Linked DNA regions of Coturnix japonica. The protein of the gene in region 2 interacts with the protein of the main gene of each other region in a biochemical or structural test. Links are inferred from orthologs where the notes say so. Each region holds a gene or a part of one and is shown on either strand. Other genes may lie near its edges.

Region 1 (3,500 bases), on a different chromosome or scaffold from region 2:
TCAGGACCTCTAACTTATCTTTGGATGGGAGAATTAATCTCCCAACCAGAAGCATTTCATAGTGCCTCTGTTAACTGCGTTCATGTTTTCTGTGCCACGTTTTAATTTTCAAAGCTTTATCATGTTCTTACGTTCTGTTTCTATCCTTTCCTGTGGTGAACTGCCTTAACTACTCTTCTGCAACATTCTGTTGACCTCGGTGAGAATCTGAGCAAAGGATTTCTCAAAAGTGGAATTTTCTAAAGCCTCTGTGGCTCAGATCACACAGGGCTACGTGCCTTCCAAGATCACGCGAAGTGTTTTTATTTCAGTGCTTCCTGTTATGCTGTCACAGGGCTCTCTCCTCATCACATGAGGGAGGCAGGCTGAAGTCTGTGGATTTCAAAACCCACTGCTGACTAGGTCTGGGTGGTTCGTGGTCTGTTGCTTCTCTTTAATATGGTACAAATGGACGCAGGAAGCCAGTTCTCTCGAGTGACTTGACCTCATTGCAGCCTTTCAATACCTGAAGGGAACTTACACCCAGGAGGGGAGTAAACTCTTTGAAAGGGCTGACAATAGCAGGACTAGGGGAAATGGTTTTAAGTTAAAAGAGGGAAGATTTAGGTTGGATGTTAGGGGGAAGTTCTTCACTAGGAGAGTGGTTAGGCCCTGGAACAGGCTGCCCAGGGAGGTTGTGGATGCCCCGTCCTTGGAGGTGTTCAAGACCAGGTTGGACGGGACCCTGGGCAACCTGATCTAGTAAAGGTGTATGTTTGGTGGCCCTGCCAGGCAGGGGGGTTGGAACTACATGATCCTTGAGGTCCCTTCCAACCCGGGTCATTCTGTGAGTGACTTCTTGATAGGAGTGTTAGAAATGATAAAAGCCTTTAGATAGTGTGAAAACTTCTGGACTGTTTTCCTCAGTTGCATGTGAATTACTGTCCTACTTGGGAGATGGAATATAATTAGGTTTCCATCTTAATCCTCATCATTGTTGCAATACTTCCTGTGAAGCTGTTCTCTGTGCAGGCTTTCTCATGGCTGCAACATTTAACAGCACCGAGTAAGCAAAGCCTATTATACATAGGCTAATAGTGATAACAGATGAAACTGTTAGTCTTAATGAAATTTGTCTTCAGTGCTTTGTATCTGTAGTGCTAAAGTTTACAGGTCGCGACTTGCTTATTTAGTGCTTTGTCTGCTTTCTCTTTCGTTTCTGTTTTAAGCTGTAATGCTAGGCAAGTACTGGATGGCTAACCCTTCCTTTTTCTTTTTCCAACCCAGTGAGGCTGCATCAACATGTCTCTCTATCCTTCCCTAGAAGATCTGAAGGTGGACAAAGTTATTCAGGTATGGCAGGCTTTCATAAAGTTGGTTTTGGTAACAGTAATGATCCTGTTTCTGTTTAAGACGGGGAGGGGAGAACTGCTACTATATTATGTATTTTACAGTCTCTGAAAAGGAAAAGGTAAAGTGCGTCAGTCTCACCTGCATTTCTCTGTGTGGGGAAGGACCTTTGGAACTGTAGGCAGTGTTGGGATTTCTTTGTTCAGCTCCATGTGCCCTGCATTATCCTGAGGTGAAGATACAGTCAGGTGACAGTAAACTTTGATTTAAAAACAAAACCCAACCCTGCCTGCAGCTGATTATATTATATGCTCCCTCAGCCTTTTAATGACCAGCTGCCAGTGTTTAAACACTATAACTAAAAACTCTTCACTGTTTAACTTTTGCAACCAATGTGGTAATGGAAATAGGGTATTTCTCTGCTAGTACTGAAGGATGCACTGTGTCCTCAGCAATTCAGTATGATTAAAAGGAAAACTGGAGTGTGTGGCGGGGGAGGGAATTGTAAAAAACAAAACAAAACCCTGTTCTTACTGTACAGAGTTTGAGTTGGAGACTAAATAATGAGTCACTTTTGCTCTGAAACTTCTTAAACGTAACTTCCTGGAGAGAACAGGACTATGAAATCTTCTATTTTTAAGCATTATTTCCTTAAAAAACACTCAGTAATTCGGTCAGCGTGTTGAATTTGGTGATTTATGCGTCCTGTTTGGCACTGTGTTTCGCTGTTCTGAAACTTAACCACACCTTTTACTTTTAACATCAGTAGCAATGTTAAGGTGGCTGTTTCTGTCCTGCATAATAGTAGGACTCTGTAAGGTAATGTTTTCAACTGTTTGTGGATGCTAAAGGCTAAGAAAGAAGCAGCTCTGATACCGTGAGAAGAAAGGGAATTGGCTTACTTTAAAAGTCTCTTCTATTTGCTTAATGACAAAACTGGAACTGATGCTGATGGTGAAGCCTTCCTGTGTTATTAGCATAGCTCTGTCTCTGAGGAAGGTATGACTTCTTGTTGAAGCGGTATGATAACACTGCCGCGTATTGTGTTAAATACTTCAAAGAAAATGATTGACTTCAGTGCTTGAAGAGTAGTGGTAATTAGCACATTAAGAAGAATACTTGGTCTACTGGCTATGTAACAAAGATCTCTTATACAAGAAAGACCTATAGTAACATGTGTGAGTTTCCATCCCTTTAGGCTCAGACTGCCTTCTCTTCAAACCCAGCTAATCCAGCAATCTTGTCTGAAGCTTCTGGTCCTGTTCCTCATGATGGAGGTAAGGTCATGTGCTGCATAGTATGCTCATGTTGTTGGGACCCTTTGATCTCTCCTTGATTTTCACCTCAGCCACTTGCATATACTTACTTGTCACATGTTTGTAAACTTCAGACTGCAGCATGAATCTGAGCATCATGGAATCATGGAATTATTCAGGTTGGAAAAGACCTCAAGGATCATCAAATCCAACCTCAGCCTAACCATAGTACCCTAACAACCCTCTGCTAAATCATATCTCTGAGCACTGCATCCAAATGGCTCTTAAACACATCCAGGGATGGTGACTCAACCACCTCCCTGGGGAACCTATTCCACTGCATCTTTCCTCTGGAGCATATGAACTTGCTTGGAAACAAGCAGACACAAATCTGTTAATAGAGAAGTGCCCAGAAACATGGAACTTCAACAATATTGTGCTTTCTGCAGCTTTTGGGGTAAAAACATATGTTGGAAAACACAATGGGCCTGAAGATGTCAGTCTCATTTCACCTTTTTATCCCCATGCTGATGTGCACCCACAAAGATGCACAGATATGCCTGAAAATCTGTAACTAGCATGACCAGCTACAGTGCTGGAAGAGCAGTCAAGAATGCTGATAGAGCAGGTACTAAGGCTTGGTGGGTGCACCTTTGTCTCCAGTTTCACACTTGGAGCTGGTGTGATCTAAGCAATTTTAAGGCTGGAATTTATTTAGCTCATCAGAGACCCACCTTAGATCCGGGAAGGTGAATTGGACCAGAAGGAACTGAAGATCTTACCTGAGCTGGCATCATCAGATCAGATGGAAATTTGCATTATTAATCCCTTTTTAGTAGCATCCTTTCTGATGCTTGGCGTTTGTATTCCACTGCAACTTCTGTGCCTTTCATATTGCTTATCAAATGATGTATT
Region 2 (4,158 bases):
GAAGTTCCTCTTAGGGCCCTCCAACAGCTTTGAGAATGAAGAAAAGGCTTCTTGTCTAGAAGCAAGGGTGCAGATAGCTCATCCTGCCTTGCACACAGCTCAGGGAGCAGAAGAAGTTTTAAAAACATGTCCACTTTTAGAGGAGTGCATTTATTTTAGTAAGCCCATTTATAACTGTCAATTTCTCTTAACAAATGTAACAAAAGCTGAAGCTCCACGGTCTCGTTGGTATGAGGACACATTGTTCACAAACAGGAGAGGATATGGGAAACATTTGTCCAACAATTGCTGTTTGAGCTCCCTGAGCCACACTCTGATCTCTTGAACTGCCCCGGAGGCTGCACAGATTGGCGTATTTGCTTAGGCACAATATGAGCACAGCCAAGAGTACAAGAGCAGAAGCAGCAATTTGAATAGTATAGTTCCCGTCCTCAAAGGGAGGGATGGGTGGGTTGGATAGTACTTGGCCCCTAGGCCAGAGTGTGAAGGAAAACGCGGTCGCTGCCGTAGGGCTTTTGTCGAGCGCACGCCCTCCGTGCCGCTCCGACACTCCGAGCCCCAGCAGCACGTTGGTTCCAGCAGCCCGCAAGCCCTGGAACACAGCAATGCAGCAAAGCCACGCTTCTGTCCTCAGCGAACGCACCCCGGCCTGGCCTCGGGCCCGCCCTGAATCACCCGCCGTCCAGCACCGTCCCTCCCCTGACCTGCGGCGTTTTGTCTCTCGCAGACGGGCCGGGCGCTTCCACCGAGGAGCTGCCGCTTTGTTACACACCGTTTGGGCCTCTTTAAGGGGCCGCAGCCGCACGCACGGCGATTTAACGTTTTTCCCCTCAGCGCTGTTCGCAGTGGACGTTTCAAAACAAGCTGCCTTCCCTGCTGAAAGCTTACATCCGCGTGAATAAATCGCTCATTCTGCCAGCAAAACGCAACGGTCATGGTGCGATAACAAGTCAGCCCCCCGCTGGGGGAGGCGATGGCGTGCAGACACGGACACAGCACAACGCCATCAGCTCATTCTGCAAATGTACGCGGGCGGAGCTTTTTATTTTATATTTATTAATAATTCGGGGCTCGAGCAGCCGTTCGCATTTCCAAAGCCCGCTCAGAAAGCAGGCAGTTAATTTCGGTTTGCTCGGGCCACCCTGAGCGCTCTCGCTGCCCCCCGCCCGGCCGTGCCTTGCAGCGGGGTGTGGGGCCCCAGGGCAGCCCCCCCCCGCCTTGCGGCCCGCCCTGCCCGGCCGGGATGGGAAAAAGTTGAGCTCAACTTCTCGTGCTCCGCCGCTCCGCCCCCGGGGCCGCACGGCATTGGCGTGTTCCGGCCGTGAGACCCCGCCCCCGGCGCGGTTTGTGAATGGGGCCGGCGGTGGGGGCGGTGCCGGCGGCGCGCCCGCGCGTATATGTGTCTTTTTTGTGCCCGGTTCGGCCGCGGGCTGCGAGTTGCGGGGTGTGCGCTGGGTGCGCGGTCCTGCTCGGCTGCGGGCGGAGTGATCCTGGGGACAAGCGGCGGCGGAGCCCGTCGGGAGCGGAGCTGCGGGAGGATCGAGCAATAATTGGATTTTAAAAGTTCTTTAAGCCCGCGAGTAAAAGACGCGACTCAGCCGGGCGCGGTAATAATCCGTTTAGCCGTAACCTAAATCCTCGTCGTCGGGAGTCGGCAGCCAGGCAGGGAGCAGCGCCTCGCCGCGGGACCGTGCGCGGAACTACCGAGAGCCGTCGCCGGCCTTTCCGCCCGTCCGCAGCCTTCTCCAAAGCCACCGACTCCGGAAACTTAACGCCGGGAGCACCGACCCGCCGCGGCCGAGGAGGAACGCCGCTAAACCGCAGCCCCGCTCCGCGGAACGGGCCCCACCGCCGCCCACCGTGCTCCCATGCCCCTGGGGCTCGGCGCCGCCCGGCTCTGACTCGCGCCCCGCGGCTCCCCGGGACCCGGCGATGCGGCCCGAGGCGGGAGAAGCGGGCGCCGGGCTCCGCTGGCTGGGCCTGGCCGCCCTGCTGGCCGCCCTGCTGGGCACACCGTGCGCGGCGGCGCATCAGGACGATAAGGCCATCTCCGTGCCGGACCACGGCTTCTGCCAGCCCATCTCCATCCCGCTCTGCACGGATATCGCCTACAACCAGACCATCCTGCCCAACCTGCTGGGCCACACCAACCAGGAGGACGCGGGCCTGGAGGTGCACCAGTTCTACCCACTGGTCAAGGTGCAGTGCTCGGCCGAGCTCAAGTTCTTCCTCTGCTCCATGTACGCACCGGTTTGCACCGTATTAGAGCAGGCCATCCCACCCTGCCGCTCCCTATGTGAGCGGGCTCGCCAGGGTTGCGAGGCGCTCATGAACAAGTTTGGCTTCCAGTGGCCGGAGCGGCTCCGCTGCGAGAACTTTCCTGTGCACGGTGCGGGCGAGATCTGCGTGGGGCAGAACACGTCGGATGCTCCGTCAGGGCCCGGCGGCGCGGGGGGTCGGGGAGCCACGGCGCAGCCCACAGCCGGCTACCTGCCCGACCTCCTCACCCCACCGCAGCCCGCCGCCGGGTTCTCCTTCTCTTGCCCTCGGCAGCTCAAAGTGCCCCCCTACTTGGGCTACCGTTTCCTGGGGGAGCGGGACTGTGGAGCCCCCTGTGAGCCGGGCCGGCCCAACGGGCTCATGTACTTCAAGGAGGCGGAGGTACGTTTTGCCCGGCTCTGGGTAGGTGTGTGGTCCGTGCTCTGCTGCGCGTCCACCCTCTTTACAGTGCTTACCTACCTGGTGGACATGCGCCGCTTCAGCTACCCAGAGCGACCCATCATCTTCCTCTCAGGCTGCTACTTCATGGTGGCGGTGGCTTACGCAGCGGGTTTCCTGCTGGAGGAGCGGGTGGTGTGCCTGGAACGCTTCTCTGAGGACGGCTACCGTACCGTGGCCCAAGGCACCAAGAAAGAAGGCTGCACCATCCTCTTCATGATCCTCTACTTCTTCGGTATGGCCAGCTCCATCTGGTGGGTCATACTGTCCCTCACCTGGTTTCTGGCAGCTGGCATGAAATGGGGCCACGAGGCCATCGAGGCCAACTCCCAGTACTTCCACCTGGCTGCCTGGGCTGTGCCCGCTGTCAAAACCATCACCATCCTAGCTATGGGGCAGGTGGACGGAGATGTGCTCAGTGGGGTGTGCTATGTGGGCATCTACAGCGTGGACTCGCTGCGGGGCTTTGTGCTAGCACCGCTCTTCGTGTACCTCTTCATTGGCACCTCCTTCCTGCTGGCCGGCTTTGTGTCCTTGTTTCGCATACGCACCATCATGAAACACGATGGCACCAAAACAGAGAAGCTGGAGAAGCTGATGGTGCGCATCGGGGTCTTCAGTGTCCTCTACACGGTCCCTGCCACCATTGTCCTTGCATGCTACTTCTATGAGCAGGCCTTCCGTAGCACCTGGGAGAAGACGTGGCTCCTCCAGACATGCAAAACCTACGCTGTGCCCTGCCCTAGCCACTTTGCCCCCATGAGCCCGGACTTCACAGTCTTCATGATCAAGTACCTCATGACTATGATCGTTGGCATCACGACGGGCTTCTGGATCTGGTCTGGTAAAACCCTACAGTCCTGGCGGCGCTTCTACCACAGACTGAGCACCGGCAGCAAGGGCGAGACGGCAGTATGAGACCTCCACCCGCCCTGGCACACACACGCAGAAGAGAGGGTACTCAGCAGAAGGGAAGCAACAGCGGCTCCCTGAAGACAGAGAAAGGGGGAAAGCTTTTCAAAACTTCAGCTTTCTCACAGTGGGGTTAAAAATGATCATTGCATTAAGGACTACGTGCACTGCGTCCAATGGTGCTTACGCTCGGCTGAGAGGAAAAGCACAGAAAGAGGCCTCTGCCGGGGCGGGAGAACCCTTCGCCTGCCAGACAGCCCCCTCGCTTTTCCCTGTGCGGGAAGGAAACCAACACGGCTGAGGCCATCCCGGGTGGGGAGAAGGCTCAGCGCCGCCCTTGCCCACGAGCAGCCCGGCTCCCGGCCGCTGGGGTCGGGCAGCCCCCGGGCTCCCACCTCGTGCAGCTCGGGGCGAGCACGTGAGTAGCCCGCGGGCAGCGCTGTGCTCAGCTGCCTCCGCTCCATCGCTTTCCTGTTTTACCTCAATGATACCCTGTGTTGGCATTTCGAAGGGAGTGGAAATTCGGCC
Region 3 (3,500 bases), on a different chromosome or scaffold from region 2:
GTATGTGATGGAGTGGGTTAGCCTTTCAGCTCTGTATTGATACTGCCAGCAGTGTTTGATCCGAGTCAGTGCCACGTACTGTTTGTGGTTGTGCTGTAGTTCTGTTCCAAACACAGAACGTCAATGGGGAACTAGAGCCAAACTGTTTATGACATGGGCATCTGGACTTTGCCTTACCAAACAGCACCACACAGTCAACTACTGCTTGAATAACATTAATCAGGCCAACATTAACATCTCAGTTGTCCCCCCTGTTAAAACAGATTAAAAAGTATTGACCCTTTTCAGAGGTCAGAGCCATTACCAACAATGTGGGCTGCAGTCGCTTGATATATTGCTGGAAATGAGGCCATTGGGTTGCTGGTGGAACAGGGATTAGGACCAAGTGATCGATGCAATCACTCTTTTTGCTTGGGTGAGACAAGTGTGAGGTGACCAGCAGGGAGGTTACAGGGCTGAAACACTGCTCACAGGGAGGAGAGTCTGTCTGGTGATATGAGATAGGGGGAAAAAAAAGGGTAGTGCTGCATGGATTAAAAACCTGACCTCCTCCTTTTCTGCTGTAGGATCGTTTTGCCATTCATGTTGAAATCTTAGTAAGTAAAAAATTACATTTTACGGCTGTACCAACAGGGTCCCACTGCTTTCTGTTGGGATGCTTTATAAATCACTTCCAAATTGGGTTTTGCTTTCTTGGCGGCTGGTTAGATCTCTGCTGCTGGAACAGGAAAGGTGTGGTATTTCATCCATGCACCTGTGCTAGTGGCTAAGAGAGCCCTGTGGAAGGCACCAAGAGTGTTGAAATTAAGAGTTCTCAACTCTTTCCTTGTTCTTCATTTGGAAACTACACTGCTGTGTCGTTTCTTACTTTATAACTGTTATTCCCTTGTTTTGTTCTGAGCAAGCATTAGACTGAAGGATTCATAGAGGAATGGCTGACTCTAGGGGATTGGTAAGCTTCAAATGCCTCCATGATAATAATGACTTCACAGCATGACCATTTAGACTCCTGTGACCCAAATGTTTAGCTGTGTTTTTCCTTTTATTTTTGTCTCAACGCACGATAGTCCAACAGTGTGACATGAGCATACCAAGCTGTTTGCCCTCCCCCCCCTTGTGATTGTGCTGCAGCAGCCATGAGAGAAGGGCATCATCAGGTAGCTTGCAGCCAGCTCAAATGGGAAAGCCCTACCACTAGTCTTTTCACCACCCTTCATAGAAACAAAGAAATCCCAGCTTTTAATTAAGCCTGGTGTTTGTCCATTGGGACTTTACATATCTACCAGTGCCCTACAGGAGCTGATTGGCTGAAAGATATTTGGTCACTCTATGTGGATGAAATGGGGTTTCTTGTGTTCTCTGCTTATATGTCTTGTTAGTTCGTAGCTGGTAATGTCACTTTGCACCAAGAGACAAAAGGAGATGTCATTCAGAGTGCCAAGCTGGTCCTTATTGTACTGGTTTAGATCCTTCCTGGCAGTAAGACAGTCTTGCACTAGGAGCTTTGGCTTAAGTCACAATACTCTCTAAATTGCAGGAACTTAATGAAGTACCGTGTGGGTTTCTTGTTAGTTTCTTATGGGCTTTTTTTAAGGCTGATTGATTTAGAATTGTCTCCTGACATCTATCCTATCTCTGATGGTAATAGAGCACACCTTCAACTTTCCTTCTGAATCAGTTCCAAAGCTTAGCAAAGCTTATACGTAGCAACAGCTCAGCTTATGTACCAGCAGCAGCCCTTTGTTTTCCTGAGCTGATTTAGTGGCCTCTGCTGGGAACTTCCTTCATGTTACTGATTGAGCAGCTCAATAAATAACTCCAACAATGAAACAGTATAGCAATGAATTTTACAAGAGCCTACCTACTGAATGCAACAGAAGGACTTCAGTTAACCTCAGGAGGTTCAGCCTTGAGCAGCAGTCTGCCCGGGCAGTACAGAAGTCAAATCAGTTTCCTTTTGAGTAAGGTTGTAAGTCAGGATTCAGCCGAACCTCATTTGCTTGTGGGTTAAAACCCAAATGCCTGCTTCTTCCTTTGGTTTCAGCTGCTCCCCTCTCTGGGCAGCGAGGAGGTGGTGGAGCTGAAGGCCTCCAGCCTTGCTTGTGAGCGAGCTGCTGCTTTCACTGTGTGAGCTCTGTAGGTGTCTCCGTGTTCCTGTGCATGGCACAGCCTCGTCTGCTTCATTCTGCCATCTGTCACTGCTAAATCCCATAAGCCACCGATAGCACGCTCAGGCCTTATCATTATTATTGCCATCACACCAGAGGTGGATTGGTGGCTTTGGTAGGAGCTGATGATGGAAATGAGCTAATTCTGCTTTTCCACTTGTCCTTTTATTCCGCTTTGCTGGCCTTTAGGAAGCAAAAGCAGCGGCTCGAACCGAAGCAACAGCGAGAACAGCAGGAGGGCTCTTGGCAGAGAGAAGGACCGCAAGTCGGCGGGCAGTGGCAGCGAGTCCGAGCACACTGCATGCAGCGGTGGCACCGGCACAGCGCGGAGGGAGAGGCCTGTCAGCCAGCTCAGCCACCGCAGCCACGTCTCTGCCACACACAGCGAGAGGAGCCACCACAGCCATCATTCTTATGGGCCTCCAGGTGTCCCACCCCTGTACAACCTCCCCAAGCTGGGCTCGAAAGTCTACGGGACGAGCGGACCCCCTGGAGGGCCCCCGGTGAGAGAACTGAGCTCTGTTCCTCCGGAGCTGACGGGGAGCCGGCAATCCTTCCAGAAGGCCATGGGCAACCCTTGTGAATTCTTTGTCGACATCATGTGAGAGAGGAAGTGCCTTCAGACTCTGCTTTGGGGAGGGCCGGGGTGGATCGTTTTGGGGCTGGGTGGGAAATGTTGTCATTGTCAGACACTTAAGGGAAGAAACTTGTCTGTTTTGCATGTCACGCCTTCCCAGTTTGCAATGATGTGTTGCAGAAAAACCAACAAAACAAAGCAAAACCCCCACAAAACAACCACAAAAACACACCCACCGATGCCTGGGATTGTTCAATATCAGCAAGTCGATGGCGTTCTTCTCTTTATCCTCCCGTTTTTCTTTCTTCCCCCCCCTCTTGTTTTTTGATTGTGGTCGGCTGGTGTATATTCACATCTTATTGAGCTTTGGTAATCGTGGCACCTACTTTCAGTGCAATTAGTGTATCTTTCGGGCTGATTCGAGGACTTCTTATTTCACGTGACTTCTGAATTTCCAGTAATGCATAACGGCACTTTTATTTTCTTGTGCTTTTTCCTCCTGCAAGAAAAAGCAGACGATTGTTGGCTGGTATCTGTGATACTGCCTCGTAATGCTGGTGTTTGGATGCATCAGTCGGCACTAAGCAGCTGCAGCACCTGCAAGTACAGACAACGCATGGAATGGAGCAGGCACAGACCAGTTCCCAGCAGAAAGCCAAGTTGTGACTGCCTTCTACTGCCTAGGGAGTGTAAATCCATCGTCCTTTTACTTCAGATGTTGGTTATTCTGTGGAGGAAATGGTGGAATCTTGCTG

The links. The genes of interacting proteins can lie anywhere in the genome.
Region 1: the proteins of FZD7 (region 2) and SDCBP interact in a biophysical measurement, tested with the Homo sapiens proteins (2 studies listed by IntAct, with this or other methods). The link is inferred for Coturnix japonica from reciprocal best matches to the Homo sapiens genes FZD7 and SDCBP.
Region 3: the proteins of FZD7 (region 2) and DVL1 form a complex in vitro, tested with the Homo sapiens proteins (2 studies listed by BioGRID and IntAct, with this or other methods). The link is inferred for Coturnix japonica from reciprocal best matches to the Homo sapiens genes FZD7 and DVL1.

Annotation. Positions count from the first base shown.
Region 1 is NC_029517.1:101,329,405-101,332,904, forward strand, and holds part of SDCBP (syntenin-1), read left to right. Parts: intron 1-1,266; 5' UTR 1,267-1,281; coding exon 1,282-1,332; intron 1,333-2,527; coding exon 2,528-2,616; intron 2,617-3,500. UniProt on the Homo sapiens protein: Multifunctional adapter protein involved in diverse array of functions including trafficking of transmembrane proteins, neuro and immunomodulation, exosome biogenesis, and tumorigenesis.
Region 2 is NC_029522.1:10,161,049-10,165,206, forward strand, and holds the start of FZD7 (frizzled-7), read left to right. Parts: upstream 1-1,358; 5' UTR 1,359-1,932; coding exon 1,933-3,636; 3' UTR 3,637-4,158. UniProt on the Homo sapiens protein: Receptor for Wnt proteins.
Region 3 is NC_029536.1:1,959,042-1,962,541, forward strand, and holds part of DVL1 (segment polarity protein dishevelled homolog DVL-1), read left to right. Parts: intron 1-905; coding exon of another isoform or gene 906-916; exon of another isoform or gene 917-952; intron 953-2,357; coding exon 2,358-2,773; 3' UTR 2,774-3,500. UniProt on the Homo sapiens protein: Participates in Wnt signaling by binding to the cytoplasmic C-terminus of frizzled family members and transducing the Wnt signal to down-stream effectors. Plays a role both in canonical and non-canonical Wnt signaling.